Linked DNA regions of Pelodiscus sinensis. The protein of the gene in region 1 interacts with the protein of each later gene in a biochemical or structural test. Links are inferred from orthologs where the notes say so. Each region holds a gene or a part of one and is shown on either strand. Other genes may lie near its edges.

Region 1 (8,269 bases):
CAATATTGTCTAGCAGCATTACCAACACTTCTACTGCTTACTGGGACTGAAAACACTGAGAGCCAAGGTTGTACACAAACTTTATGGGACCATGGAAAACTTGGCTACACCCATGATAAGTGGATATCCAGCTAACTAAATTCATGCTGGGTCACAGATGTACTTTCAGATATTGCACCTCTCTGAATCTCACCAGTTTTATGACTTTACAATGATTTTTCTGATTTTTTAAAATGTCTCTTGCACCTTGTTGTACAAAAGACCCACACAAACAACAGGGAAAACTGAAGAACAGACTATAGCAGTGGGAGTGACTAAACGCAAACTGCTGTCAAATACACAAGCCAACTGAAAAATATCCCCCTCTCCAAATTATTTCAGTACACTAATTTTATATTTGGGTCCTGGAAGCAGCTCTGTGCAGGCAAATCACTGTCTCTGCCCTGAGACCCAGTGACTTCAAGTGGAGTTTGCCTTCACAGAGCTCCCTGTAGAATCAGAACCATAGGTGTTAATTGTGACACCAGTACACATCATTAACAGTAAGGAGCATGATTTTTAAGTTGACAATCTCCTTTAATTAGAGTGTACTCTTTTGAAAGTAGAATAGTGACAGCTTGTATACAATAGGAATTTCTGGAGTGGGATTGTTACAGTTGTGCATATGAGCACTGGAGATGGGTTACTTTGTATAAAGCAAGTATTGCATCAGGACCACTTCTCTCCGTTGCGAGTAAACCACACCAGTGCAAACTCACATTACACTAATGCAGCACATCAACATTGAAGGTTTGCACTGTTGTACCTACACAGAAAAACCCTGAGCTTTCTCAATAGTTCTATAAATTAAGAGCTCTCCTGACCCATCTATTTGCACTGAAACTACCCACCTTTCACTTGGCCTAAACTAAAGCAATGCCAAAATTAGGCACTAAGTCTGCCATGAGTTATACACTTACTTAACTTTACAAGTGAATGGACTCCACTAAAATCAATGACACTACTCATTCATTAAGTTAAGCATGAGCATGACTGACAACAGTATTGGGGCCTAAATCTTTGAAATTATATAAATTAATATATTTAAGTTCCCTTGTCCCCATTCTGGGAGCACACAGAAAACACCCCTAATAAACTTCACACTTTCGTAGAACCTTGGGCAAAATCCTGTAGCATTATTGCCAGAAATAAGGAAAATGCAGAAATCATGTGGACTTGTACGACAAGCCAAATATGATAAAAAATACTTCTTGAATCTGTTAAGTCAGTGTCCATAAACTAAAGCAAATGCAAGCTATATAATTTGTAATTCACATCTTGTCTTGAATTCTAAAATAATCACAATGTGCAAAACTAGGCCAAAATCATATACGCAAAGCAATTTTTATCTCTCTCTCTCTCTCCTGATCATTCCTCCACACCCATTATTCCAACTTCCGAAGAGAAAATGTGTTACTGAAGGAAAACTGCAAATTAATTTAAAAGAATATGGTCATACAAAGTCATTCTCATGTTTGCATATTTTGAACCAGCTTTAACATATTTAAACCCATATCAATAACAACCTTTATGTATAAAACAAGATAGTACATTTGCACTAAAGCAGACAATACACATCTTTTGCATGTGATGTATTCAGTTTTATAACCCCACATACACGCACATCAGGCTCTTGTGCAGACATTTTTAGGCACTGTTAGTCCAAAGCATTAACTACATCTACCATGATAACTGTGTATTAAAAAAAATCTTATGACCAAATAATTGTATTATTTCTAATTCAAAAGTATTATTTTAGCAGATACAAAGTCAAATAGGGACACACTAGTTTCTGTACAATAACTGTAATATAATTACAGTTATTGTACAGAAACTGCCGAAATTAAGAGGAAATTCTGTTGTATATGGTAAATTGTATTTCTTATCCAGTGGGTGGATTCCGAAGATACTCCAGATCCTGTCATTCTCTAACATACTGTAGGTTATTATTCAGTTTCATGGTCTTTGTATGGTGGTGCTGTTATTGTAAAAAATTAGCCTATAATCTGAATGTAACCCTTCATCTCCGTTTCCATGTTTTAGTGTTATTTTTATTTAATGAAGCAATCAGCCACCCTGCAATCTTTCGGAAGGCTCTCAGAACAATGCAGACATTAAAGCTTGCCACCATCAATCTGCAAAGCAACTCCGCCTGTGAGTCCTTTCATTTAGCTGCTGCCTTGCAATTTTCCCTTACACCCACCCCCAAATGTATTTGCCATTTATGTTCTCTTTTCATCTCTCTATCACCCACCAAGTCCTCTCCCCGCTCCATTTTTGGAAGGCCAGTGTCCATTCCACATCAAATTGCCTTCAGGAACCAGAATCATGTATTTACCCAGCTACATTTTCATTTGCAAAACATGCCACCAAATATACACCATGTAACACCGTGTATTATAGCTATCTGGGCGCACGCACACACACACACACACACACAAATGTATCCGCTCCACTATCATCAGAGTCCGAATAAACAGAATCATGCAGATTGGAAGCCCCCGCGGAGCGAAAGCAGGGAAACTGAGTGTAAATCGCGTCCTCCCTCCCTTCCCCTGCACCCATAGCCAGACTCCCTTTCCCTTAAGACTGATCAAGGCGCGGATACAATATCCACTCGGGATCCACACACCGGCATATCGACTGCATAGGTGCCTACATGCACGGGCAAAGCTGCACTCCCCAATGCCCCCTGGCACCCAGTATGTGTGTGAGCAGCAGGGGCGGCGCGGCACCGGGGCAGCTGCCCGGGTTGGGGTGAAGGCGGCGCCTGCCCGGACTTACCCAGCAGCAGCAGCTTGAGCTCCCGGCGGGCGTCCCGCTTGTCCCGGCGGAGCTGCCTCTCGATCTCATCGTTGATACGCCTGGCTTCCTTGGCTTCCTCGCTCAGGCAGCACGCCATGATGGACTCCAGAGTCATTCTTCCTAACTGGTTCAGACACAACCCCCACCCCCCGAAAACTCTCACTCACACTCACACACACTCACACCCCGCACCGCGGAGCGAGGGAGGCACGCGCCCTCTGCCTGCGAGCCCCCACCCGGGGACAGCCCAGCCGACGCCGGGAGAGCGCTAGATGCTACACCCAGCGAGCAGAGGCAGAGAAAGGGCCCCCACCGGCGGCGGTGGCAGCAGCGCAACCCCACTATCTCCTGCCTCTGACACCCTCTAGTTCCAACTCCTCCTCTTCTCTAAATCATGCACCAAACAACAGGGAAACATCCACCGGAGCAGCAGTGCCCAGCAGAGAGGAGCAGCCCAACGCCCCCTCTTTTCCCTCGCTGCCGCCTGCGGTCACCTCAGTCCCTTGTAAATGACACCCGCTGAAATCCCCCCTCAGCTCCCTCCCAAGCAGCCAGCCCCCTACTGAAATGCTAATCGCGACTAACCCCTCCCCCCCTCCACACGCACATTTTCTTGTTTCTCTTCCCCCCTCCCTGACTTTGAAGACCAGATGCTCCAGGAGGTGGTTTTTGCTTGTTGCCGCTTGAAAATCTCTTGGAGTTTGCTTTGCTTAAGGTTTTCTTGCAAGTGGACTTTTCTTCCCGGCTTTCTTTGAGGCTGAAGGGGGGGCGGGGGGAGAGCTACTTGCTTGTGGCTTGCAAAGCAGCTGTTGCAGAGCTGTTCGTCGTGTTCCTGCCTTTCCCTTTCTGTGAGGAAGCGAGAGGGGACAATGTGAGAGAAGAGGAGGGAAGCAGGAGCTGTGGTGCATGCACAATATGTATCCAGCCAGCCTGACTTTTCAATGGCTCAGTTCCCCGGGCGTGGTAAGGCAGAAATATGGCGGACCTTCCCTCTCTCTCCCTCCCTCTCTCCAACCCACGAGACAGAGGAATATGTTACAGACAGAAAGGAAAATCCCAGGGCAATAAACCTTCAAACCCACTGAACAGGCTTTCACACAAAGACGAGCACCACCATCCAATAGCAGTAGTAGAAGGAGGAACAAGTACTTTTGCACACCAAATGGCCGCAAGGAACACTCTTTTTTGTATTTGTCCTATAGGGCAGGGCTGGGGAGGGTAACATATTTTTGTATTTACTTTTCATTCCTTTTTTAAAATCCATTTTGTTATAAACCTTCATGCTATTCCAGGAAGAGATGACTTTGCAAAGAGTTTAAGAGTGAAAGAATAATTCCCAGGAGGGGAAAGAGGCGGAACCTTTCTCCCTTCCGATGGCAATGTAAATTTGGGGAATAAAAGTTTCCCAAGGTCTTCAAGGCGTTCCTTATAACTGTTCATGCCAAGGAGTTCATATGTTGAGCTGAAGAACAATGGGGGAGGGGAGATTGTAACAATCATTATACTAAATAAAATGGGTAGGTTCCTTCCCTTGCTTCCAGGAACCTAGGATTCTAAAATGTAAATAGATTAATCTGTTTTACTTTTTATTTCTGTAGGTGTAACTTTGAGGTTATCCATTGTGTGATTTTGCCAAACTCCAAACCCCTTGTATATTTGTACTACTAGACCTTAAGTCAAACCATTACAGAGCAATGGCACATTATGGACTGATACATGATATGGATCCTAGCTTTCATCCATCCTTGATGTTTTAGCTGCATTTTGCCCTATTCCCACCCCATTTAAAATTAGCTATAATGGAGAAGGATCCTGTCTTGCTCCATATCCTCTTTCACCTGCCAGCTTCATGTGTGATGCTCTTTCCAGCACCTGTTGGCATATATTTTGAAAAGTATGTTGTGCTCACATGTGCAGCTGCTCATACATGTTGACAGTCTTAATTAAGCTATGCTCATCACAAGCTCTGAAAATTAAAATTTAATGATCAAAACAGTGACTTCTAGATTTTGAATAAAATAATTCTCATTGTTTCACAATTTTAAAAATATATTTACTTGTGCTGATTTGTTCAGCAATTTTTTTGACAGACTAAAAAAATAGTCCCTGCAGCTCAGTTGATTTTTGAAAATATGTTTCGTTTACCTTGCAAACAAAATTAAAATAAAGATGGACAAGTTTTAAATTAAATTCTACAATCCTATTTTTAATAAAAAACACATATTTCAGAAAAATCATTTTTTAGTAAACTGAAATGGATTTAAAATGTAATAACATGTTTTAGGGTCCCTGGTTTATGTATATGTTGGCAATGAATTTAGCAACATAAAGATACAGTTGATAGGCACTAGTTTGCAGTTACCATGTATATAAAAATGCTAACCAAGAAACAAGTGAACAATGACACAGGGGTCAAATCCTCTTTGCTTCCACTGAACAACTTCTTAGTGGATGAGGACCTGTAAGTGAATAAGGGACAATAAGGCAGCAGAATGGTGGTACAATGGCCAGTTATAAGGAACATATGCCGGAAACATGCTGTGTGCTCACCACACTGCTTGCACAGGGCCCGGCATGGTGCAAAAGTGTTTGCAGCAAGTCTGGGGGATGGGTAGATTATAGCAAGTGGATCTGCAAGATCCCAGGATAACTGATCAAAATCTCTCTGCATATTGAGAGCATAGCAGCCACAGCCCTTAAGGCCTAGCATTATAGTAATCTTCCTTCAGAAGAGGAAGTCTGACTCATCTTTCAGAGCACTAAAGGGAGTTGCAAGAGTCTCTCCAGGGTCTGAATACTATATACTAAAAATGTGAAGCTGTCATTTAATTGTAGGAATTCTTGGGTATGTATACTGCATTTATTCTCTACGTATCTCTCCCAATGACAATGATTTTTGCCATATGACCTGAGGGCAGTACCTTCCAATATGTATCTTGAGAAAAACCACAGAATAAATAGAAAATGTTATGAGGCTGGACTACAGAAATTGCGATAGCAGCGCATAAAAATGGACCTCAGCTAGTATCCTACCTCTGCAGGTGAATAGTACCAGATACTTTAGAGGAAAGTGTAAAACCTTCATAATCAGAATCAAGCAATAATATACCTCTAGGGTTTCTTCCTAACTCCAATCAGAATAGTGGTAGGCTTTTGTTCTAAATCATGAGGCTTTATATCTCCTTTTCCCTGTATATATTTATCCTAGCAAGTATATCTGCAAATGATACAATTATTAACTACAGAGATACCTAATACTATTGTGATTCCCACCAAGCTCTTTGCCTCAGTATCTGAGTTCCATAGCTTAAGTATATCTTGCATATAATGGTGACTCCATTTATTGGCCTGAATTTTCAAAATGACTAGGGATTTTGGGTGTCTGACTGGAAGACTCCTTAAGGAGAGTCTAGTGTTCAGGAAGTGATGAAGAACATATCTTCTTTGAATATCAGATTCCTTTAAAGTGTCTTAAATTGGGCACCCAAACACTGAGGTACTCATGATAATTAGTCACTTTTAAAAATTGAGGGTGTTGTTTTAAATGCGTTGCTTTTTATTTTCATTACCATCACTTTCTTGCTTTGTAAGAGAGAGTAAATATGCATTTGTGATAAACCTTGGTATACCATTGATAATGCTGTATATCTCTATCATATCTCCTCTTACTCCCTAAAGTATGTAGTGCCAGACTTTATAATCTGTTCTTGTACAGAAATCCTTCCATTTAGTTGACCCACTCTGTGTGTCTTCTGTTTTTTTAGATGGTTTGACCAAAACAGAACACTGCATACAAGGTGAGAGCATACCAGCAACATAGATGAATCTGTTATCATAGTTTCAGCTTTATTCAATATCTCATAAAACAACATCTTTGTGACTAATATTGCAACCCCATGCAGTATTTTGGGGGACCATTTATTAAATTTATGAATGGTTTATATATGATTGTGTTCTAAATGATGGGGAGGGTTACCACAGCTCCTAAAGGAAATATATACAATGAGAGGTATTAGGGCCCTGAAAGACTGATGAGCGACTCTTGATATATTTAGTATTAGGACTGTCAAGCAATTTTAAAAATGAATTGTGGTTAATCACATGATTAATCGCGTGTGCTGCCCCTTTGAAATGCTGCGGCGGTGTTTCAAAGGGGCAGTGCTGTGGAAGCCTGGGATTATCTGGAATCCCCAGCTGATTCCAGGCTCTGCTCACGCTGCTCCTTTGAAATGCAGCAGTGACGGCACGGATCCCGAGAGATGACCTTGGCTCTGTGCAGCACTGCCCCTTGGTAATGCTGCCACCGCGGTGTTTCAAAGGGGCAGCAGCAGCTCTGCGAGAGCCCAGGATCAGCTAGACTCCCCAGCTGATGCCAGCTCCATGCAGCGCTGCCCCTTTGAAGTGCTGCCCCGGCGTTTCAAAGGGGCAGTGCCATGGGAGCCTGGGATCAACTGGAGTTCCCAGCTGATCCTGGGCTACATTGGCCTTCAGAAGGGCAGTGCCGCACAGCTGACCCTAGGTGCTGCTCTGTTGAAACGGAGTGGCATTTCAAAGGGGCAGTGCTGCCTGGAGTCCAAGGTCAGCTGGGGACTTCAGCTGATCCCAGGCCCTTCCTGCGTTGGTGGCATTTCAAACGGGCAGCGCCGCAGAAATGTCTGTGATTAATGCGTTAAAAAAAATGCATTAATTGTGCTCTGCGTTAATCGCAGGCATTAATGCGTGTTAATTGACGGACCTAATCTTTTTACTAGAAGATTTACCCAGTGTTGCTCAGGTCTTTAACTCAAATAATTTTTGTTCTCTTAATTTAAATTATTGTTCTGGAGTGGGATTGGGGATGAGAGGTTCAATATGCAGGCTGCTCCAGGTAGAGAGGACAACCCCAACCCTCACTCTCACTGCAGCAGGTTATGGCCAGAAATGCCTCTCCCTGGCTGCTACAGCTACACCAAGGGTACATGTTCCCTGGCTGGGGCAGATTCAGGTTCACCTGTCCCTGCGCTCCCCAGCCTGAGTGAGGAATGCAGCAAACTGTGCACTTCCCCTAACTCCCTGACAAAGGGGAACAACCAGCAATGTTCCGGTGAGAAGTGGGGAGAGGGATCCTTCAGACTCCTCCTTCCCCTCCCTCACACACATTCCTTAAAGGTTACCTGTGGGTGGGAAGCTCGGGGCTAGAGCAGTCCCAGACAGGGCAGCCCAGCCAGCCTCTTTCACCTACCTGTGATTCTGTCTCTTTTCTGTATGGTTTTCTGAGAAGCAATCCCATGACAGGCATATCCCATTGTCCTGGCATAACAAAACCCTTACCTCGCTTTAAGTTATGAGGAGAGGTAGCTGTATACTGAATTTGGTGGTCCTTGCTCTTACCATATAGAAAAAGTTCTTGAACAAACAGACAAACAAACTCTCTCAAGTATATAAT
Region 2 (8,426 bases), on another chromosome or scaffold:
GGGGAGCTGCCGTGCCCGGGAAGGGGAGACACGCGTGGGAGAGAGGGACACGCATGGGAGAGGGGGACGCTGCCGTGCCCGGGAAGGGGGGTGACACGCGTGGGAGAGGGGGCGCTGCCGTGCCTGGGAAGGGGGGGGTGACACTCGTGGGAGAGGGGGCGCTGCCGTGTCCGGGAAGGGGGGGGGTGACACGCGTGGGAGAAGGGGCGCTGCCGTGCCCGGGAAGGGGGGGTGACACGCGTGGGAGAGGGGGGCGCTGCTGTGCCCGGGGAAGGAGGGGACGACACGCGTGGGAGAGGGGGCGCTGCCGTGCCTGGGAAGGGGGGGAGACACGCGTGGGAGAGAGGGACACGCATGGGAGAGGGGGACGCTGCCGTGCCCGGGAAGGGGGGGGTGACACGCGTGGGAGAGGGGGCGCTGCCGTGCCCGGGAAGGGGGGGTGACACGCGTGGGAGAGGGGGCGCTGCCGTGCCCGGGAAGGGGGGGTGACACGCGTGGGAGAGGGGGGCGCTGCTGTGCCCGGGGAAGGAGGGGACGACACGCGTGGGAGAGGGGGGCGCTGCCGTGCCTGGGAAGGGGGGGAGACACGCGTGGGAGAGAGGGACACGCATGGGAGAGGGGGACGCTGCCGTGCCCGGGAAGGGGGGGGGTGACACGCGTGGGAGAGGGGGGCGCTGCCGTGCCCGGGAAGGGGGGGTGACACGCGTGGCAGAGGGGGGCGCTGCCGTGCCCGGGGGGGAGGGTGACACGCGTGGGAGAGGGGGGCGCTGCCGTGCCCGGGGAGGGGGGGGTGACACGCGTGGGAGAGGGGGCGCTGCCGTGCCCGGGGAGGGGGGGTGACACGCGTGGCAGAGGGGGGCGCTGCCGTGCCCGGGGAGGGGGGGTGACACGCGTGGGAGAGGGGGCGCTGCCGTGCCCGGGAAGGGGGGGGTGACACGCGTGGGAGAGGGGAGCGCTGCCGTGCCCGGGGAGGGGGGGGTGACACGCGTGGGAGAGGGGGGCGCTGCCGTGCCCGGGGAGGGGGGGGTGACACGCGTGGGAGAGGGGGGCGCTGCCGTGCCCGGGGAGGGGGGGTGACACGCGTGGGAGAGGGGGGCGCTGCCGTGCCCGGGGAGGGGGGGGTGACACGCGTGGGAGAGGGGGGCGCTGCCGTGCCCGGGGAGGGGGGGGGTGACACGCGTGGGAGAGGGGGGCGCTGCCGTGCCCGGGGAGGGGGGGGTGACACGCGTGGGAGAGGGGAGCGCTGCCGTGCCCGGGGAGGGGGGGGTGACACGCGTGGGAGAGGGGAGCGCTGCCGTGCCCGGGGAGGGGGGGTGACACGCGTGGGAGAGGGGAGCGCTGCCGTGCCCGGGGAGGGGGGGCTGACACGCGTGGCAGAGGGGAGCGCTGCCGTGCCCGGGAGGGGGGGTGACACGCGTGGGAGAGGGGGCGCTGCCGTGCCCGGGGGGGGGGGGTGACACGCGTGGGAGAGGGGGCGCTGCCCTGCCCGGGAAGGGGGGAGTGACACGCGTGGCAGAGGGGGCGCTGCCGTGCCCGGGAAGGGGGGGACACGCGTGGCAGAGGGGGCGCTGCCGTGCCCGGGGAGGGGGGGTGACACGCGTGGGAGAGGGGGGCGCTGCCGTGCCCGGGGAGGGGGGGTGACACGCGTGGCAGAGGGGGCGCTGCCGTGCCCGGGGAGGGGGGGACACGCGTGGCAGAGGGGGGCGCTGCCGTGCCCGGGGAGGGGGGGTGACACGCGTGGGAGAGGGGGCGCTGCCGTGCCCGGGGAGGGGGGGGTGACACGCGTGGGAGAGGGGGGCGCTGCCGTGCCCGGGGAGGGGGGGTGACACGCGTGGGAGAGGGGGGCGCTGCCGTGCCCGGGAAGGGGGGTGACACGCGTGGGAGAGGGGGGCGCTGCCGTGCCCGGGAAGGGGGGTGACACGCGTGGCAGAGGGGGCGCTGCCGTGCCCGGGAAGGGGGGTGACACGCGTGGGAGAGGGGGGCGCTGCCGTGCCCGGGAAGGGGGGGTGACACGCGTGGCAGAGGGGGGCGCTGCCGTGCCCGGGAAGGGGGGGTGACACGCGTGGCAGAGGGGGGCGCTGCCGTGCCCGGGAAGGGGGGGTGACACGCGTGGCAGAGGGGGGCGCTGCCGTGCCCGGGAAGGGGGGTGACACGCGTGGGAGAGGGGGCGCTGCCATGCCCGGGAAGGGGGGGACACGCGTGGGAGAGGGGGCGCTGCCGTGCCCGGGGAGGGGGGGTGACACGCGTGGCAGAGGGGGCGCTGCCGTGCCCGGGGAGGGGGGGGTGACACGCGTGGGAGAGGGGGGCGCTGCCGTGCCCGGGGAGGGGGGGACACGCGTGGGAGAGGGGGCGCTGCCGTGCCCGGGGAGGGGGGGGTGACACGCGTGGCAGAGGGGGCGCTGCCGTGCCCGGGAAGGGGGGGTGACACGCGTGGGAGAGGGGGGCGCTGCCGTGCCCGGGAAGGGGGGTGACACGCGTGGGAGAGGGGGGCGCTGCCGTGCCCGGGAAGGGGGGGTGACACGCGTGGGAGAGGGGGCGCTGCCGTGCCCGGGAAGGGGGGGTGACACGCGTGGGAGAGGGGGCGCTGCCGTGCCCGGGAAGGGGGGGGTGACACGCGTGGGAGAGGGGGGCGCTGCCGTGCCCGGGAAGGGGGGGGTGACACGCGTGGGAGAGGGGGGCGCTGCCGTGCCCGGGAAGGGGGGGTGACACGCGTGGGAGAGGGGGCGCTGCCGTGCCCGGGAAGGGGAGGACACGCGTGGGAGAGGGGGGCGCTGCCGTGCCCGGGGAGGGGGGGGGTGACACGCGTGGGAGAGGGGGCGCTGCCGTGCCCGGGAAGGGGGGGACACGCGTGGGAGAGGGGGCGCTGCCGTGCCCGGGAAGGGGGGGTGACACGCGTGGGAGAGGGGGGCGCTGCCGTGCCCGGGGAGGGGGGGTGACACGCGTGGCAGAGGGGGGCGCTGCCGTGCCCGGGAAGGGGGGTGACACGCGTGGCAGAGGGGGCGCTGCCGTGCCCGGGGAGGGGGGGTGACACGCGTGGGAGAGGGGGGCGCTGCCGTGCCCGGGGAGGGGGGGGTGACACGCGTGGGAGAGGGGGGCGCTGCCGTGCCCGAGGAGGAGGGGGGAGCCCGGACTCACATCGTCCCACTTGACGAATTTGGTGCCCTTGGTGAGCAGGTCGGAGACGCAGACGGGCTTGAGCTGCAGCGCGTGGACGCCTGGCTGTGCCCCGGCCATGGGCAGCGCATGGAGGCAGCGCCGGGCGGGCTGCAGCCGGGGCGCGGCGGGACTCAGCGGCGGGCGCTCCGAGCCATGCAGCGGCGGCGGCGCATCCTATATACACGCGCGCCCGCCGCGCTCGCGCTGCCGCCCTCCGCCTCCTCCCCAGCTGACTCGGCCCCCAACTTTCCTCCGCGCTAGGTCACCGGCCTGCCAGCGAGGCGGCAGCGGCCCCTACCGGCCCCGCGAAGCCGCTGCAGCGCGGGGGGGCGGGGGGGAGTCCTCGCTCTGCAAGGCGAGACAAAGTTCCCCAGACTAACACGGCTACATCTCTATCACTATTCTCCTGCATTTTGCTTCAACTACCCCAGACTAACACGGCTACATCTCTATCACGAAGCTGGAGGGGGGGGGGGGAGGGGGATCAGCACAGCTGCAGCGCTTCCTCTTGCCTCAGTTTCCACGGCCCCCGCAGGCAGCTGGGGGCAGGGCCAACAGGCAGAGCAGGTGACCGAGGCTTTGGCTGCGAAGCAGGAAGGGTGAAATCCTGGCCCCGGACGGCAAAACCCCCTTGGGACTCCAGCCCCAGGCTAGATTCCACCCGGGATTCTCATAGACTTTAAGGTCAGAAGGGACCATTATGATCATCTAGTCTGACCCCCCACAGAATCTCACCCACCCCTCCCAATTCTTACAGCAGGTGACGCCCCCCGCGTCTGTCCTCCTTTCACCGGGCACCAGTGTCCCCAAGAGACACCCCACTGGGCAGCAGCCAAAGGACAGACAAGAGCCCAGCCGCAGACGGCCACGCCAGGCGTGTGTTTGTATTTCTCGTATGCCCTGGCCGACGGGACACAGAGCCCAGGGGTAAAAGCTGGCTCCCACTTGCTCTCCAGGTGCAGTGGGACAGGCCGGGTGTTCGGTGGCTCAAGAGACCTCTTCAGAGAGAATAAAGTGCAGAAGGAGTGGAGGATGGGCTTGGGGGAATGTGACTGTACAGACAAGGAGGCGGGGAGTCATTAGTCCGGAAACTGACAAAGGAGGTGATGAAAGACCATCATCACCATCAACTCCATCCAAGCTCTGTTTATAACCTCATAGCCACAACATCGTAAAAGAAAGAGGGGTTTAGAAAGTTGTATGTTCTCTTCATCCTCAGAGGTTTTCTGGGAATAAAGCACGCCCACTGATGGGGAGGGATAGGCAGGGGGGCAATTACCCGGGCTTCTGGGCAATTTAAAAGGGCCGGGGGAGGGCCCTTCAGCCACCGTCACTATTGTGGGACCAGCAGCAGGAGTTGGGAGATCCACACCCTTTTACACCAGCCAGCTCGGGCTGGCATTTCTTCATGCAGCGCATTGGCAACCTGTGGAACTCCTTGCTAGAGGATGTTGTGAAGGCCAGGACTTTAACAGGATTCAAAAACAAGCTAGATAAATTCACGGAAGATAGGTCCATCAATGGCTATTAGCCAGGATAGGGTAGGAATGGTGTCTGTATCTCTGTTTGTCAGAAGTTGGGAATGAGCGAAAGGGGAGGGATCACTTGATGATTCCCAATTCTGTTCATTCTTTCTGGGGCACCTGGCATTGGCCACTGTCAGAGGACAGGCTACTGGGCTAGATGGGCCTTTGATCTGACCCACTATGGCCATCATTACGTAGCAGCATCCGTGAGCTCCAGCCCCTTTTAAATTGCGTGGGTGGCCTGCCGGCCTCCTAGACAGGCAGGGGCTGGTACCAGTGGTGGTGAGGGCAGATGGACAGGCATGTGTACATTCTGGCCATACCACAAGTGCATGCCCCGCAACATGGCCAACAGCTCAGAGGGCACCAGCCTGCACAGACACAGCACTGCACAACTGTCTGGCAAACTGTGTCCGCACTTGTGCGTGCATTGGGGCCCTTTGACTGTCCTGCCCTGGATCCCAGAATTGCTCTCAGTGGGCCTGGAATAAAGCCATATGACCTTAAGTCCATTGTAAGTATCCTTTTCTCAATTCATGTTAACACCGAAAGGGCACTAACAGTCTAGTGACATCCCAAAGCAAGCAGTTTTGAAGAAAAAGGGTTTGAAGAACGAAATCAAACATGCTCTAGCAGTGACCTTCCATCTGTTGAAGAGTCGCTGCACAGATAAAGTGTCTGATGATGCAGCACGTAAGAGTCCTGATTTCCCTGTAGAGGTTTCTGCTTGAACCTCTTAAGGTTTAAAGGCAGCTGGTCAAACTTGTTCTGACTTGGCCAATGCAAACTATGCAGAGGGAGCAGCCTTTGGGAAAAAAATAAATAAATTGGGGGGGGGTCGAGGAGTGCTGCTTCACACCATTCGTTTGGTGTAGGTATTTGGTTTTAGAGACTTTTTACAAATAAGTTACAAAAAGATAATAATTTACTCATTTGTCTGTTGTATATTTCTAAAATATATAGCAAGAAGATAATCTAGGAACTAAAATCTGCCGCAGGGGCCCTCTGAGGCCTTCGCAATCGGCGTGTCCTAACAGCCACAGTCAATATGAACAGCCTTGTTCCTCAAGACAGTCAGGCCTAATGGCCAGTGTCCCAATAACACCCTGTCTCCATAGCATGGTCAGATCTAATGCTCAGAGTCAATAGTAGCACTCCCTGCAGAACAGCGTGGGCTAAAGGCCAGAGTTAACAGTAGGGTTCCCTTCCCACTGGCCTAGCAGCCAGTCCGTAGTAACGGGAAGAGTTGAACTCCGTGGGGTTGGTGAGGAGGGGATGGGGGACCCAGGCCCACCCTCTCCACTGGGTACCAGCTCAGGGCCCAATCAGTGATGGAGTGGATCACCACAGCAGGGAATCCTCCCGAAACATGCAGGGCACTCGGGATAAAGCTCCCCGCCCTGGGCTACTTCGTACCCCCTTTCCTGCATAGTCTTCTCCATCTCTTTCCTCCAGCCTCGGGGCTGCTGCTGCTGCAGTTCCCTTCTGACTAGTGATAGTGTCTGAGTGCACCAGTGCTTCTCCTTCAGGAGCTCCTGCGAAACCTCCTTCTCTGGCAGCTGGCAGCCCAGACTGAGTTGCTTCATAGGCCTTCATAGCTGGCCTCCAACTGGAGCATGCCCGGCAAGACTGTGGGGGCAGGGCCTTCTCAGCCAGGTATCCAGCTTAACCCTCGCAGCCCCAGGGCAGGGATGGTACATCCCGCCACAACGTCTGTCTGTCCGCCCATCTGTGAGTCTGTTTGTTCAAGAACTCCTCCTAAATGGTAAGAACTAGGGCCATCATTATCATACCAACCTTCCTCTTATCATAACTTAAAGCAAGGTCAGGGGTTGGTTGTGCCAGGACAATGGGATGAGCCTGGAAATCAATTGTTTCTCATAACATGGAAAGGGAGGAGTCTGGTAGGATGGACAGTTATTCTCTAGAATGTCCACAGGGGGCAGCAACGGGCCATAGAATGGAGACTGGGACAGCTGTAAACCCATTGGGGGACAAGGGTGGAGAAAGGGACTGCTATCTACTATATATTTTAGAGAGTTTGTCTGTTTGTGTGTCAGTTTGGTTATGTCTCGACAGCAGAGTTAAATTGCAAATTGTGTCTCTTTTTCCGATTTACTTTCGAAAGCAGCTTTTCCAAAATTTGGCGTGTCTACATGGTGCCAAATTTCGGGAAAGAAGTGCTCTTTTGACACATCCCTTATGCCTCCTAGAACAAGGTTTACAGGGAAGGAAAAAGAGCGCGTCCACTTTTTCTAAATTTTCTTTCGGAAAAGTGGATGCGTTCCTTGGACGCGGCATTGCTTTTCAAAGTGATAGTCTAGACAACCTTTGTTTCTGTGTCTGGGTCCCCCCAGCCAGGGGACATGCATCCCACACCCAGCTGTGTCCACTGCAGCTGCCACGGACAGACGCTTCTCATCTTGCCCTGAGCTACTGCAGTGAGAGAGAGCTGAGGCTGTCCTCTTCCCAGGGAAGCCTGCCTACTGAATCCCCTCATCCCTAATAAACCTTATTTAAGGACCTGAGCAGCAGTGGGTAAATCTTCTAGTTAAAACCTTGGGCTTGCTCCAACTTTCATTAACTTCAATGGGATACTTTTCACTGACTTCTGTGGAAGTCAAATCTGTCCTTTTGTGATAGTCTATGCAGACTATTATCAATGTTCCACTCCCAATGAATCCATTTGATCTTATTTTTTATTCGAATCAAGCTTGCTTTCAAGAATGAACGTCACATGAATCAGGATACAAGTTGGCTCGCTCACTGCAGTATTTTAATTTCTGTTGATTTGCTACGATTTAGGAGAGATGATAACAAACTGTGTTTTCAGATGCACCAGTGTAAATCCAGAAGAGTACCGTTAGCTGAGATTGTCTTTCACCCCAGCATATAGTGTGTGATAGATGACGAGTTTGAGCTTGCAAAACAAAATTATGAGGTGAAAGTCGGGGTAGTAGAATGATCATCCACAATCACTTAAACTCTCACATTCCCAGCAAGCTACGGAATTCACCTGTAGGGATGTCACACATGAAGGAGTTTCATCATGTGTGAATCTCCATGCAGAATAATGAATAGCCATCCTGGTCCTTCCATTGCCTAACTGGCTATCCATGAGAGACTTCTGTGTCTCTTCTTCTCAACAAGAGAGAAATAAACTATTCACCTGAGCTAATACAGGCAGTCCCCGGGTTACATGGATCCGACTTACATCGGATCCCTACTTACAAACGGGGTGAGGCAACCCCACACTAGCTGCTTCCCCCCAGCAGACCAGGGAGACGCGAAGCTAGCGCGCCCTCTCCCCCCCCCCAGCAGACCAGGGAGACGCAGAGCGGCTTTTCTCAGCAGACACCTCAGCTTGGGAATAAAGGACTGAGGGAAGTGAGGTGTGGGAGACTAAAACTGAGCTCTGGAGAAATGTTTGGCTAGAGTTTCCCCTACAATATGTACCAGTTCCGACTTACATACAAATTCAACTTAAGAACAAACCTACAGTCCCTATCTTGTACGTAACCCGGGGACTGACTGTACTTATTAAATGTTAGCCTCAGGACAGACCTTTCTGATTCACTGTACACCTGCCTTCTCTACTATTCCATCCTCATTATCCATTTTTGGAATGCTTTTATCTTGACATCTAAGAGGTGCACATGCAGCTGGCTACTCAGACACATATTTCAACCACAAGCTACTTCAGTTAAGTTGCCTATATCGGAGATGGACCTAATAATAGAATGT

The links.
Region 2: the proteins of guanine nucleotide-binding protein G(q) subunit alpha (region 1) and PLCB1 form a complex in vitro, tested with the Homo sapiens proteins (2 studies listed by BioGRID, with this or other methods). The link is inferred for Pelodiscus sinensis from reciprocal best matches to the Homo sapiens genes GNAQ and PLCB1.

The regions. Positions count from the first base shown.
Region 1 is NC_134716.1:37,303,772-37,312,040, forward strand, and holds the start of guanine nucleotide-binding protein G(q) subunit alpha, read right to left. Parts: upstream 3,346-8,269; 5' UTR 2,960-3,345; coding exon 2,824-2,959; intron 1-2,823.
Region 2 is NC_134713.1:191,612,872-191,621,297, forward strand, and holds the start of PLCB1 (1-phosphatidylinositol 4,5-bisphosphate phosphodiesterase beta-1), read right to left. Parts: upstream 3,402-8,426; 5' UTR 3,235-3,401; coding exon 3,136-3,234; intron 1-3,135.